3 linked regions of the Oryzias latipes genome follow. The protein of the gene in region 1 interacts with the protein of each later gene in a pairwise test. Links are inferred from orthologs where the notes say so. Each region holds a gene or a part of one and is shown in the gene's direction. Other genes may lie near its edges.

What was found.
Region 2: the proteins of fragile X mental retardation syndrome-related protein 1 (region 1) and bysl interact in binary tests that used the Homo sapiens proteins (3 or more experiments, as listed by UniProt). The two-hybrid records come from large-scale screens. The link is inferred for Oryzias latipes from reciprocal best matches to the Homo sapiens genes FXR2 and BYSL.
Region 3: the proteins of fragile X mental retardation syndrome-related protein 1 (region 1) and baz2b interact in binary tests that used the Homo sapiens proteins (3 or more experiments, as listed by UniProt). The two-hybrid records come from large-scale screens. The link is inferred for Oryzias latipes from reciprocal best matches to the Homo sapiens genes FXR2 and BAZ2B.

Annotation. Positions count from the first base shown.
Region 1 is NC_019876.2:28,852,600-28,856,351, forward strand, and holds the start of fragile X mental retardation syndrome-related protein 1, read left to right. Parts: upstream 1-1,491; 5' UTR 1,492-2,142; coding exon 2,143-2,193; intron 2,194-3,752. UniProt on the Homo sapiens protein: mRNA-binding protein that acts as a regulator of mRNAs translation and/or stability, and which is required for adult hippocampal neurogenesis. Specifically binds to AU-rich elements (AREs) in the 3'-UTR of target mRNAs.
Region 2 is NC_019863.2:2,276,581-2,280,304, reverse strand, and holds the start of bysl (bystin), read left to right. Parts: upstream 1-821; 5' UTR 822-930; coding exon 931-1,195; intron 1,196-1,823; coding exon 1,824-1,980; intron 1,981-2,077; coding exon 2,078-2,216; intron 2,217-3,724. Other genes in the region: med20 (mediator of RNA polymerase II transcription subunit 20), read right to left, coding at 293-438, 611-624. UniProt on the Homo sapiens protein: Required for processing of 20S pre-rRNA precursor and biogenesis of 40S ribosomal subunits. May be required for trophinin-dependent regulation of cell adhesion during implantation of human embryos.
Region 3 is NC_019861.2:14,699,532-14,703,183, forward strand, and holds part of baz2b (bromodomain adjacent to zinc finger domain protein 2B), read left to right. Parts: intron 1-1,493; coding exon 1,494-1,559; intron 1,560-1,837; coding exon 1,838-1,978; intron 1,979-2,258; coding exon 2,259-2,513; intron 2,514-2,848; coding exon 2,849-3,072; intron 3,073-3,652. UniProt on the Homo sapiens protein: Regulatory subunit of the ATP-dependent BRF-1 and BRF-5 ISWI chromatin remodeling complexes, which form ordered nucleosome arrays on chromatin and facilitate access to DNA during DNA-templated processes such as DNA replication, transcription, and repair.

The DNA of each region.
Region 1 (3,752 bases):
TCACGGACGGAAGGCGCCGCAAACCAGTATATACTGTACAGTATTAAATTCTCTGCATTGAAATTGGTAAAGAGACATAACATCTTTGAATCTACTACCTTTAACTGCAAAAGAGCCATTTGGGCCTGTTTCTTACTGATCAATTCCTAGTGGAAACGGCAACGTCTTATTTTACCCTTTCAAATTTGACAGAAGGGCCAGACCAGGAACAGATCTGTGGCTCGTTTTGCTGATCCACCTGATAAGAAAGAAAAAATGAACTGGAAAAACCTGCTTTAATATTGATTGACATCAAATGTATATATTTTAAAACAGGACATTTTGGAATTTCAAAACTGTGATTTATTTTTCTCAATTTACTGCCAGTCTCACTGATGGGTTGATGTCCCTCAGGAAAAAACACAAACTGAGGGGAAAAAAAGCTGTGTTCGTGTGCTGTTAGTACGATCGGACTGTCCTACAAGGAAAACACACATGAACGTCAGAAAAACAACAAATCTTCCAACTTCACCTGAATGCAAAATAACTTTTATGCACCTAAACAAAGGTACATGTATTTGTAGTGCACCATCTTGGGACTCACCAGAAAATAAAACATTAATCTTTCTGGCGAGCCGGATTTAATAGTTTCATGGCTGCATGTGAAACCCTTGGGGTGTAGTTTGCTCACCTCTGCTTTAGGAAAATGTGATAGTATGTATTTATTGTTTATTTAAAAACTAGCATTTTCTCTAGTGTGAAATTGCATTTTTACTATTGACAGAAGCTGCTTTCAAAATAAAAGACGCAAACAGGATCTTCTCAGTGCAGTTCGTGTACTTCCATGAAAGGTTTTTCTCCAAGGAATCTGAGGTCGGCTTCACAAATACTGCAGACAGTGATTCAAACCTAATCTTTAGCCGCAGATCTTCAGAGGAGCAGCACAGACATCAGTAGCAGACATTGCATTAGGGGCCGATACGTGGCGTTTGCGCTATCTGTGCGGTTTCCCCTGCTGGTCCCACAGCTGCCTCCTTGTCCAAATCTGGATATCTTCTCATTCAGCTGCTTCAAATGCCCCAGCATTCTGTTACATTTGTAGTGAATGGGGGAGGGGGGGGGCATCTAGGGGGGATATTAGGAGCATGTTTTATATGCATGAACGTTTTCTTGCAGCTCCAGCATGGTGTATAGTATATATAGTAACCTGTGGTGGTGGTGTTTACACAATAAGTGGGGGTCCTCGCTCATTCATGAGTGGGCTAACCTGGACATGGGAGCCAGTCCATATGAGTAAATGTTTGATTGACACGAACAATCAACCAATGAATGACGTCGGTAGGCAACTGTCTGGATTTCATTGGCCCCTTCGCTGGACCAGCCCTTATTTGCTAAACCAATTAATGGGATCTGGAAGTGATTGTTGACCGTTCTGACCAATCAGAAGGCTAATAGGGGGCAGGACGGGCGGGGCTTCACTGGGAGGGGGCGGGGCCTTTCAGGTCATTCAGTCCCTTTGCGATTCAGTCAATCGGCGTGTTTGCGGGGATTGGTGGCTGCTGTGAGGAGTTGCCGGGCGGTGGTGCTTTGAAAAACGCCTTTGTGAAGAAGAGACGCCGCTGAGAACCACGCCACCGACCGAAGACACGGCCGCCCCGGTGACGACGCGCGCGAGACTGTTCCGCGCGGAGATTACGCCACACGCACGAGCCCTCAAACGCAGCCAGGCTATCTGACTGTAGCATGCTAGCACTCCCGAAAACAGACGCTAGCCTCCAAGCTAATTACCCATCAGTCATCGTCCTCCGGCTCCTTGGGCATCGTTAGCTCGGTTCTGCTGGTGCCGGCGCCTTTGTTGTCGTCGCGAATTCTCCAGAACCGACCCAAAGAGAGCGCTGTTCTCCCCCCTCAGCTGGCAGTGGCAGTAGTAGTCTGCGTCGCCGCGGTTCAGACATCATCCCTGCCATCGGTCCGGACCCGTCACCTCTCTCTGCCCCTTCTTGTCCTCCACCCGGAACACTGGAAGTCCACAAGCGGCCGGATAGCGGCGAGGGGCCGGCGAAGCTGGGGGCGGGAACGTTACCGGACTCGCAGCCGCAGGGAGCCGTTACGCCAACGGACGACAAGCAGCAGCACAGCCGCGCGGACTCACCGGCGACGGGGATGGACGGGCTGGCCGTGGAGGTTCGCGGCTCCAACGGGGCCTTCTACAAGGTAAGCGGGGTTTCTACCGCCCGCCTCAAAGTCCGGCTTGGCCAGAACCGGCTTCGGAGAGCCAGAATAATTGGGGCCCAGCTGAGCCCGAGTCAGTTAGCTGCGGGTTTGGAGCGGTTCGACCGGGTCGGGTTAGCTAGCTTTGGTTAGCGGGGTGAAGCTAGGTCCTCCTACTCGTCGTCTTCACGCGTGGCCCGTTTGGGTCACGTTGGCGGGACAGTTCGGTTGAATTCGGGGTGTTTGGTGGGAGGAAGGCTCGGTCCTGTGAACGGGGTGGGTTTCGATGATCCAGACAGCTGTCGTGAGGTCGGTGAGGTGATGCTCCGTGAAGAAGCGGAGTGACCTCACCGCCACCATCATCATCATCATCATCATCAGTCCTGCTTTGGGCTGCTGATGCCTCACATGAGGAAGGGCGACGGTTTCTGTTTCAGTTCTGGCTGATCTTACTGAGAAACCAAACCTAAGGCTTCCCCCACCCTCTGTGCTTCCACTGAGGGGGGGTTATTATTGTTATTATTCTATTTATTTCAATGGAAACGAGTAGACTCCTCATCTGCTTCCACACATCTGAACCGGTTTGTCCCACAGGCAGACATGGGTCTCCAGTGGTCTGGACTTTGGTAACTCGGGGGTTCCATGTGCTCCATCTACCCCCCTCCCCCTGGGTTCAGTGATGGTCCTAAATTTACTCCTGTGCAGCTTCACCTGTTGTGTGTCTTACTGGTTGTCAGTGCGCCGTTGGCATGAATGACGGTTTTCCACTTTAGCGTGAGGCTCTGACCGCCACAGAACTGCCTCATTATTCGCATTTTAAACAGCAATTAATCCAAGCATTGACCTCCAAACAAAAGGTATTAATCGGAGATGCAACCATTCACTTTCCCCACGTCTCTGTTCGCGTGTTACAAATAGGGCTGTAAGAATATCACTTGTGGTTCCGGTTTATTCTTGATATCTTTTCATTCTGATTCTCTGACCTGAAGTGGATCCAGATCCTCTTGATCCAAACTTCCAGCAGTGAGACTCAGACAGAAATTCCTGCTACTGAACAGTTTTCCAGATTCTTGGATTTCTTCCAGATCATCAAGTTAAATGAAATCTGTGTCCAAACCAACAAGTAAACTAGAATGAATGTCAAATCCATTCACATGTTAGTTTCCTAAACTTCAGCGCTGTTGTGTTTCCACATCCAGAGAATCCAAAGGGAACATTCTAGCACAGGGGTGGGCAAACTCCGGCCCGGGGGGCCACACGTTAAAGGATCTGATCCGGCCCGCCAAACTGGGAAAAGTTAAATTGATCATCCTTACAAAGGTTTTATTTTTCCTGTAATTCATAAATGGTGCTCTGCAGATAAAGTGAGCTTTACTTTGGTGTAGAAAGTAATTCAGCACTCGTGTTGGAAGATCTGTTGTTTTTCAGATGTTTCTGACAATTCCAACCGCACCTGAATGCAGCATTTCTCTAATTTGGCTTATTTCCCCCCTGAGGGACATCAACCCATTGGCTCTAAAATGAGAACAAAATCATCCAAATATGTTGCGTTTTAAAATAAA
Region 2 (3,724 bases), on another chromosome or scaffold:
GTAAAATATTCTCAAGATAATTTGACAAACACACATAAGATAAAGTGGCTATGTATGCTTAATTGTGTCCCATATTTACTGCAGATGTGTCTGAAGGAAGAATTAGCAAAAGCCCTGAATGTTCTTGTTAAAAATGCTACCAATTAAATGCAAGGGCACAAACGGAGCTCATATGCCAATCACCTTTTTTTAATTGCTTTTTAAAGGTCTAAGCAACCACAACTAATTACCACATGAATAAATAACTACTAATATGTTTCCCGCGTGATGCTTGAAAAAGTAGCGAGCTTACCGACAACGTTTCCCGTGGCGTGGTATGTCTCACAATCCACGCAGAAGCTGCCTTGTTTCACAGAACCGAGCTGCTCCAGCTTTTTTTGCAGGACGTCCACGGTCTGCTGCACACTCTTGCCCTCCGCTATGGGCACCTGACAAACACTGAAAGACAAAACACCCGACTGAGCAGCGACAACCCAACGCATCCATGAAGGGGAGGAGCACGCTTTCCCCAAAAGAACAAACATTTGAAATAGACAGGTCCTATAAACATAGCGAAACCAAACTATGTTGAAATAATAATTACACTTTAATGAGCCAAAATATTCCTTACCAAGTTACTCCCATTTTTGTTTTGCCTCCTTCGCAACTACTTCCGGTTAAACAAATTGACTTCCGGTAAAGGAAAAAATAAAATAAAAATACAAGTGAACATAGACGAATTGAGTTAAACTGATTAACTCAGTTAATAAACATAGGTTCTTTCATATATAATGTTTCGAAACATTTTTAATGAAACCGGATGTGACGTAATGTATTTCCGCTGCCTCTGTCGCGCATGCCGTTTGTCCGCACGTGCTAAACAGCTGGGTGTTTACACACTAAAAAGGCATAGACAGGCTTTAGCTTGTAAATTTTTTTGGAGCTGTAGCGATGCCGAAAGTGAAGAAATCTAAAGGTGGAGGAGAAAAGAGCTCTGGATCCGTGGCGCTGGCTGACCAGATCCTGCAGACGGACACGGTCCGAGCCCGCAACCGGGTTAAGAGCAGAGACCAGCGGCCAGAAAGCGACGACACCTACGTAGACGAGCGGCTGTCGCGGAAAATCCTACAGCAAGCCCGAATTCAGCAAGAGGAGCTTCAGACCGAATATGGGCTGGTACCGGAGAAGAAGAAGGCGACACCGGTCACTGTTCTTGGTAATGTTGGATCAGAACCAGGACATCCGCTTCAGTTTAGAAAATGATCAAACAGAAGCCGTTGATTAAGGTTTCTAAAGGTTCTCTCTTGTTCTAGTTTTTCTTACCGAAGAAAACGATGACCAACTTTAGTAAAGTTGCATCACAGATTCATCACAATTCAGACCCATCTACCCTTAACAAAGACAAGTACACTTGAAGTTTACTTAAGGATACTTGAGTAATAAGTGTGTAGTAGTGTACAAGTATAGACCATGTACGTGTAGTGTAGGACATATAGTAACTGAATACTTTTTCAGACTTTTATTGGAAAATTTTAAATGTATATAAAAAGAAAATTCTAGTTTACTGCTTTACTTTTAGTATAGACAGTATACTTGTAGTTTACTTAAATAGACTACTTTTTGCTAAGGGATGCACTAATGCTATGACTTAAAAATAAAGTTAACTGTTCACTAATGATGGTTTTAGTAAACACTCCAAATTAAAATACTTTCAGTAAATAAATACTTAAAAATAGAAGTAATAATGTTTTCATTTACTCGTTTCTGTAGTTAGTTGGGTGATTCCATACATCTAGATCTGCATCTTTTCATTATGTGAGTTCTAAACACTCCTGTAACTGTAGGTCCTGAATCTGGGGATGCAGACTCGGATGAAGAGTGGCCCGCACTGGGAGAAGCAGTTTCTGGGGCGGCAGAAACCGAATGTGATGCTGAAATTATTGTAGACCCAGAAGACGAAAAGGCCATTGAGATGTTCATGAATAAAAACCCACCAATGAGGCAAGAAACATGGCAGTTCTGACTAACCAACAACAACAAACAGAAACCACCAGGCCAGTTTCTTCTGTCCCTACTAACATGTTTCTCTTTCTCGTAGGAGGACCCTGGCAGACATAATCATGGAGAAAATCACTGAGAAGCAGACCGAAGTGGGGACGGTGATGTCGGAGGTGTCAGGGCGCCCCATGCCTCAGCTGGACCCCAGAATTACAGAGGTTTATAGAGGTGTGGGAAAGGTGAGCTTTCTTATATTATTGAAGACATAAGCCGCGGTTACATGCGCAAAATATCTGGATCGGATTAAAATCCAACCGTGTACATGGGATCAGAAAACCTTTTTCCGATTAGAACAAACGTTCACATGGGTCACACTTTCGGTTGGAATAAATCATTTGAGCATGAGCAGTAGTGTTGAAAATACCGAAAGAGGAAATGGGTCCCACAGTAAACAAACCGAGCTGCCACATACATTCATGCAGCAGCTCGGTAATATACAAGACGATCTTCTAAACGTGCTTTTATCAATGTTATGAATATTATGAAGCGCCTGTTCGCTCATCATTTTAATTTTAATCCGTGTGGTCAGTGCTTTTTTTTGTGGAAGAACCCTGGAGAGGCTAACACACGCGCTAACAACATTAGCCTTTTTTGATGAACACAAACACTCCCCTCAAACACAAAGTTATGAATCCGGCTGCTCTGCTCAGAGACACAGTTCGCTCCGTCCACCGGCACCCGAGCCCGGACCACGCAGGGTCCAGACGTCACGGGGCACGAAGCGCTCCCCCTCGCAGCCCCCTCGTGAGGGGTGTAAGAGAGGGGAGAGGTGAAGAGCCAGCAGGGCGAGAGCAGAGCGGCGGTTCTCACCGGTCCTCCGCAGAGCAGCCGGTTGGTCCTGTTTGCGCTCCAAAGCTTTCTCTGGAGCGATACACCGTCTATGCGTGACGTTAAACCAGAGCAGTAGTGACACGATCGGAATGAACTGTTTACATGTAACACGATTGGATCAACAATCGGCATAACCCACCTATCTCGATCGGAAAGACATTTTGATCCAAACGAGTCTGATCAGGGCAGAGTATTCTGAACGGTGTGTTTACATGACACATTTTCCTTCCGATTCAGGTGTTCTTTCCAATTACTTTTGCCCATGTAAACACAGCTACTATAACACGGTGTTGTACAGTCTGATGGCTGTGGGGAGGAATGACCTGCGGTAGCGCTCCTTCTTACACTGAGGGTGCAACAGTCTGATGCTGAAGGAGCTGGTCAGCGCTTCTACAGTTTGGTGCAGGGGGTGGGAGGGGTTATCCATGATGGATGTTAGCTTAGCTTAACAAACACAGCCCACAATGGCACTGTCCTCTGAGAACTTCTGCAGGTGACAGTGGTGGGAGTTGTAGGTGAAGTCCGATGTGTACAGGGTGAACAGGTGTGGGGAGAGCACAGTCCCTTGAGGTGCCCCCGTGCTGCAGACCACCACATCAGACACACAGCCTCACAAACTGTGGTCTGTTTGTGAGGTAGTTGATGGTCCAAGCAACCAGATGTTGGTCCACACCTGCAACCTCCAGCTTCCTCCTCAGCAGTGATGGCTGGATGGTGTTGAAAGCACTGGAGAAATCAAAAAAACATGACTCTCACAGGGCTCCCAGGGGACTCCAGGTGAGAGGGTTAGGTGCTGCAGGTAGATGATGGCGTCATCCACCCCAATGCCTGGTCGATATGCAAACTGCAGCGGGTC
Region 3 (3,652 bases), on another chromosome or scaffold:
GAAAGAAAAAAAAAAGAGTCAGTGTGCTGCCTCCATCTGCTTGTCCTGAGGGACAACTGACCCTGTCACGGTGGCCAGGCAGCTTCTGCCCCCCCTCCCCCATCCTCCCCTTCTACTCAGAATGCATTGCAAAGGCTGCTAGCCAATCCACACTCACTTGTCTGAGAAAGCGCTGGAGGAGTTTCCATCCATCACATACATTGTCTAACTGTTGTATTGGAGTAGCCTGTGTTACCCGTGAGTGCTTGACGACTTCAGCCCAGACATCGAGCTTGTGTCTGTTCGTCCGTGCATCTGTCCTGCAGTCCGCAAGAGCGCTGGGCTTTAACCTGCCCCGTCCCGACCTCTCTGTCATTCACTCTTCATGTACTCTACACAAAGAATGAAAACGGCTACTGAGAGTCATTTTGTCTTTATGGTGGAGACCCTTCCAGGGCAGATTACCTTAAGTTTGACTAGTGCTTCATTTGGGATCAGTCGCAGCCCAGACAAAGATGATAGCCGATACCACCATCCGGACAAACATGGTTCTGTGTAGCGTTTCGTTTTGGCCTGGCTCTCCTGCTTGTAGCCCTTCTTACTCTTACACAGTCGTAGCCCAGTGTACACGTCTGCCCATCTTTTCCTCTCTGGATCAAGCCAGTTCCTGCATCGAACACTCATTTTTCCCTCCATGGGTGAAAAGTGTCAAACAACAGGATTTAGCGTCAAACTGAAGTTTTTCTGACTTTTTAAACATCTCTACCTCTTTTTTCTTTTTATTCTGCATGTATAGATGAATCCGTTAGTAAAATCATTGGCTTTTATAGCATACATCCTGCTGTTCTTCTCAATGGAAGAAATAGTCACAATCTGATACGGTGGAGCAGGACACCTAAGGAGATCAAATAAAGACAGTCAACAGTAATTCCTGAGCCTTTTTCTTTTTTAGTAGATGGTGTCTCATGCACCAGAGAGCAACATAGATGTCTCAATCTCTGTGTTAATGCTTAAACGTCCAAAACCACTGAAGAGGAACTGCTCAGTTCCTGGCTGCCTTTTTGCCGTCCTCTCACCCAGCATTATTCCAGCCATATATCAAATGAACATTAACTCTGAATATTTCTTCACTTGATTATAAAGTCAGTGTGGCATGTCAGGCAGCTCGCAGGACCCAGCAATTTTGTTTGCTTTTGTTGTGTCAGCTTTAGTTTGGAGGCGCCGTCACAGATTTTCAGCTGCTTCTGTTTTTTGAGCCTGTCATCACATCTACTTTGTATCGCATCTATGTGTTGCTTTTTGGTTGTCATCGTTCGACTGTACTCTTATGCTTCCCCCATACATGTGACAGTGTACACATGTCGAAGCATCACTTTGTGCTGGTGCCTCTACTGAATGTAGTGCATCACAGTTTTTTTTATTTCTCCTGCATTAATACACGATCAACTTAGACGACCTTAAATGCCGCTCGGGCGGCGTCTGTTTATTAATGTGTCTATTTTTTGCCACTCTAGGAGAGGGAAAGGAGGAGGCAACATGTAATGCTAATGAAGGCTGTTGAGGCTCGCAAGAAAGCAGAGGTAGTCCTTATGTACACACAGACACACACCCCATTTCATAAAAGGGCCAAAGACTTTGCTTCCTCAGTGGATTCCTTCTTTTTTCAGGCAGTTTTCAATCTTTTTACACTCTTACCAAGTAAAAAGACTCTGGCCCTCAAGAACTTTTCCTTTGAAAGCAAGGCGGTTTTTAGACAGGAATTCTAGCCATGTTCAGCAATTTAAAGTAGTTGTAGCACACAAAATTCCCCTCGCATGCCTGGCTTTCCTAATGCGCCCTTGAATGTCGGACTCTTCAGGAGCGCGAACGCTTGCGGCAGGAGAAAAGAGACGAGAAGCGATTGAACAAAGAGCGTAAACAGGAGCAGCGCCGACTGGAACTGGAGATAGCGAGGGAACTGAAGAAGCCAAATGAAGACATGTGTCTGTCTGACCATAAGGTAACTAATAATAACAATAAAGCAGCAGTTGTTTGAACCTTTTCTTAAGAGTTTGTGTCACATTGCAGAGAACATTTTAATGATGAAAATGTGCACCACCAGGTGGTTGGAGAAGAGCAGTGCATCATGTTTTTTTAAGAACACTTCATCCAGTAAATGGCAAATCTGTTTTTAATCATAGGACCCAGATAAGGATGATTCTTTTTTTTTTCTTCTATAGAGTAACACATGCATCAGGACTATATAGTTTCGTTTTACTCACTGACTTTCCTGTTTCCAGGCTCTCCCGGAGTTTTCTCGGATTCCTGGTCTCATCCTCCCAGGACGTGCCGTGTCCGACTGCCTGATGCTCATGCACTTCCTGCGAGGTTTTGGGAAAGTTTTGGGCCTGGACATGAATGTGGACGTGCCCACCCTGGGGATGCTGCAGGAGGGTTTACTCAACGTGGGGGACAGCATGGGCCAAGTCCAAGACCTTGTAGTCAAGCTGCTTTCTCTAGCTGTCTGTGATCCTGGCCTGCCACCTGGGCAAAAGGTGAGCTTTGACCCAGAGGCCATGAAGACGAATGGACTAAGTACTTGCAGGAAAATTCCCTATCATGTCTTCAAATGAGAGAATACTTTAGAACAGTGATTAATTTGGAAGAAAGTACTTATTGTTCCTCTCCTTAAGTAAAATACGTCAATGATGATGAGCATTCTAATAAGTCTATGCTTATGCGTTTGTTATTTTTCTTCATGTTTTTTCCCTGAAAATATATTCACAAATCATAAAAAGGTGATGAATTGTCAGTGAACAAGCTAAAATTTTGTCTTGAATTGATCAAACGAATGCACTAACACATGCATGTGATGTCATGTCTTTACCAGACCAAAACCATGCTGGGAGACCACCTGACCAATGTTGGCATCAACAGGGATAATGTCTCTGAGGTGCTACAGATGTACATGGGAGCCCACTGTGGCAACACAGACCTGGCTCCTTTGGCCCTCAGTCTGAAGACCAAAGCCTTCCAGGCTCATACGCCGGCTCAGAAGGCCTCCATCCTGGGCTTCCTGGCCAATGAGCTGGCCTGTAGCAAAGCTGTTATCAGGTAGGTCAAGAGGCAGCGACTTCATCAGTGTCCACTTTTAAAATGACATCTGCAATTATGAAGCATAATAACCAATCCTAATAGATACAATAAACGTTGTTCTGAAAAGGATCACATAACAGTATTTATTCACTGGGATCGCACACAGAAAACTATCTTTGAACAAATTTTAAATGAACAATTAGACTTTCTCCATTACTCTTTAGGAAACAAGAATAGTAAGAAACCACAAACACAATATAGTATATGATAATATAGTATAATACTATGAGGTTTGGTTGTTTATAAAATTCTGCATTTCTGATTTAAACATTTTTTCCAATTTTTCCATTCATTTTCATTCCATTAATTGTTTTACTTTATTAAGATTAAATGGAACAAAAAGAATAAAGCTTCAGCACTGTTTCTGTAAAAATAATGAGAAGAAATCTTTTACCTTGATGAGTGGACACTTTAAAACGTCACTTTCCCAAAAGCCTATAAAAGGCTTTTTAAAAGAAAAAAACAAAAACTATTCAGAGGAAACAAGTCGGAGCCATTTTTGCCCTTCCTCTGGGTTTCCACCTTTTGTTCTTTTGTG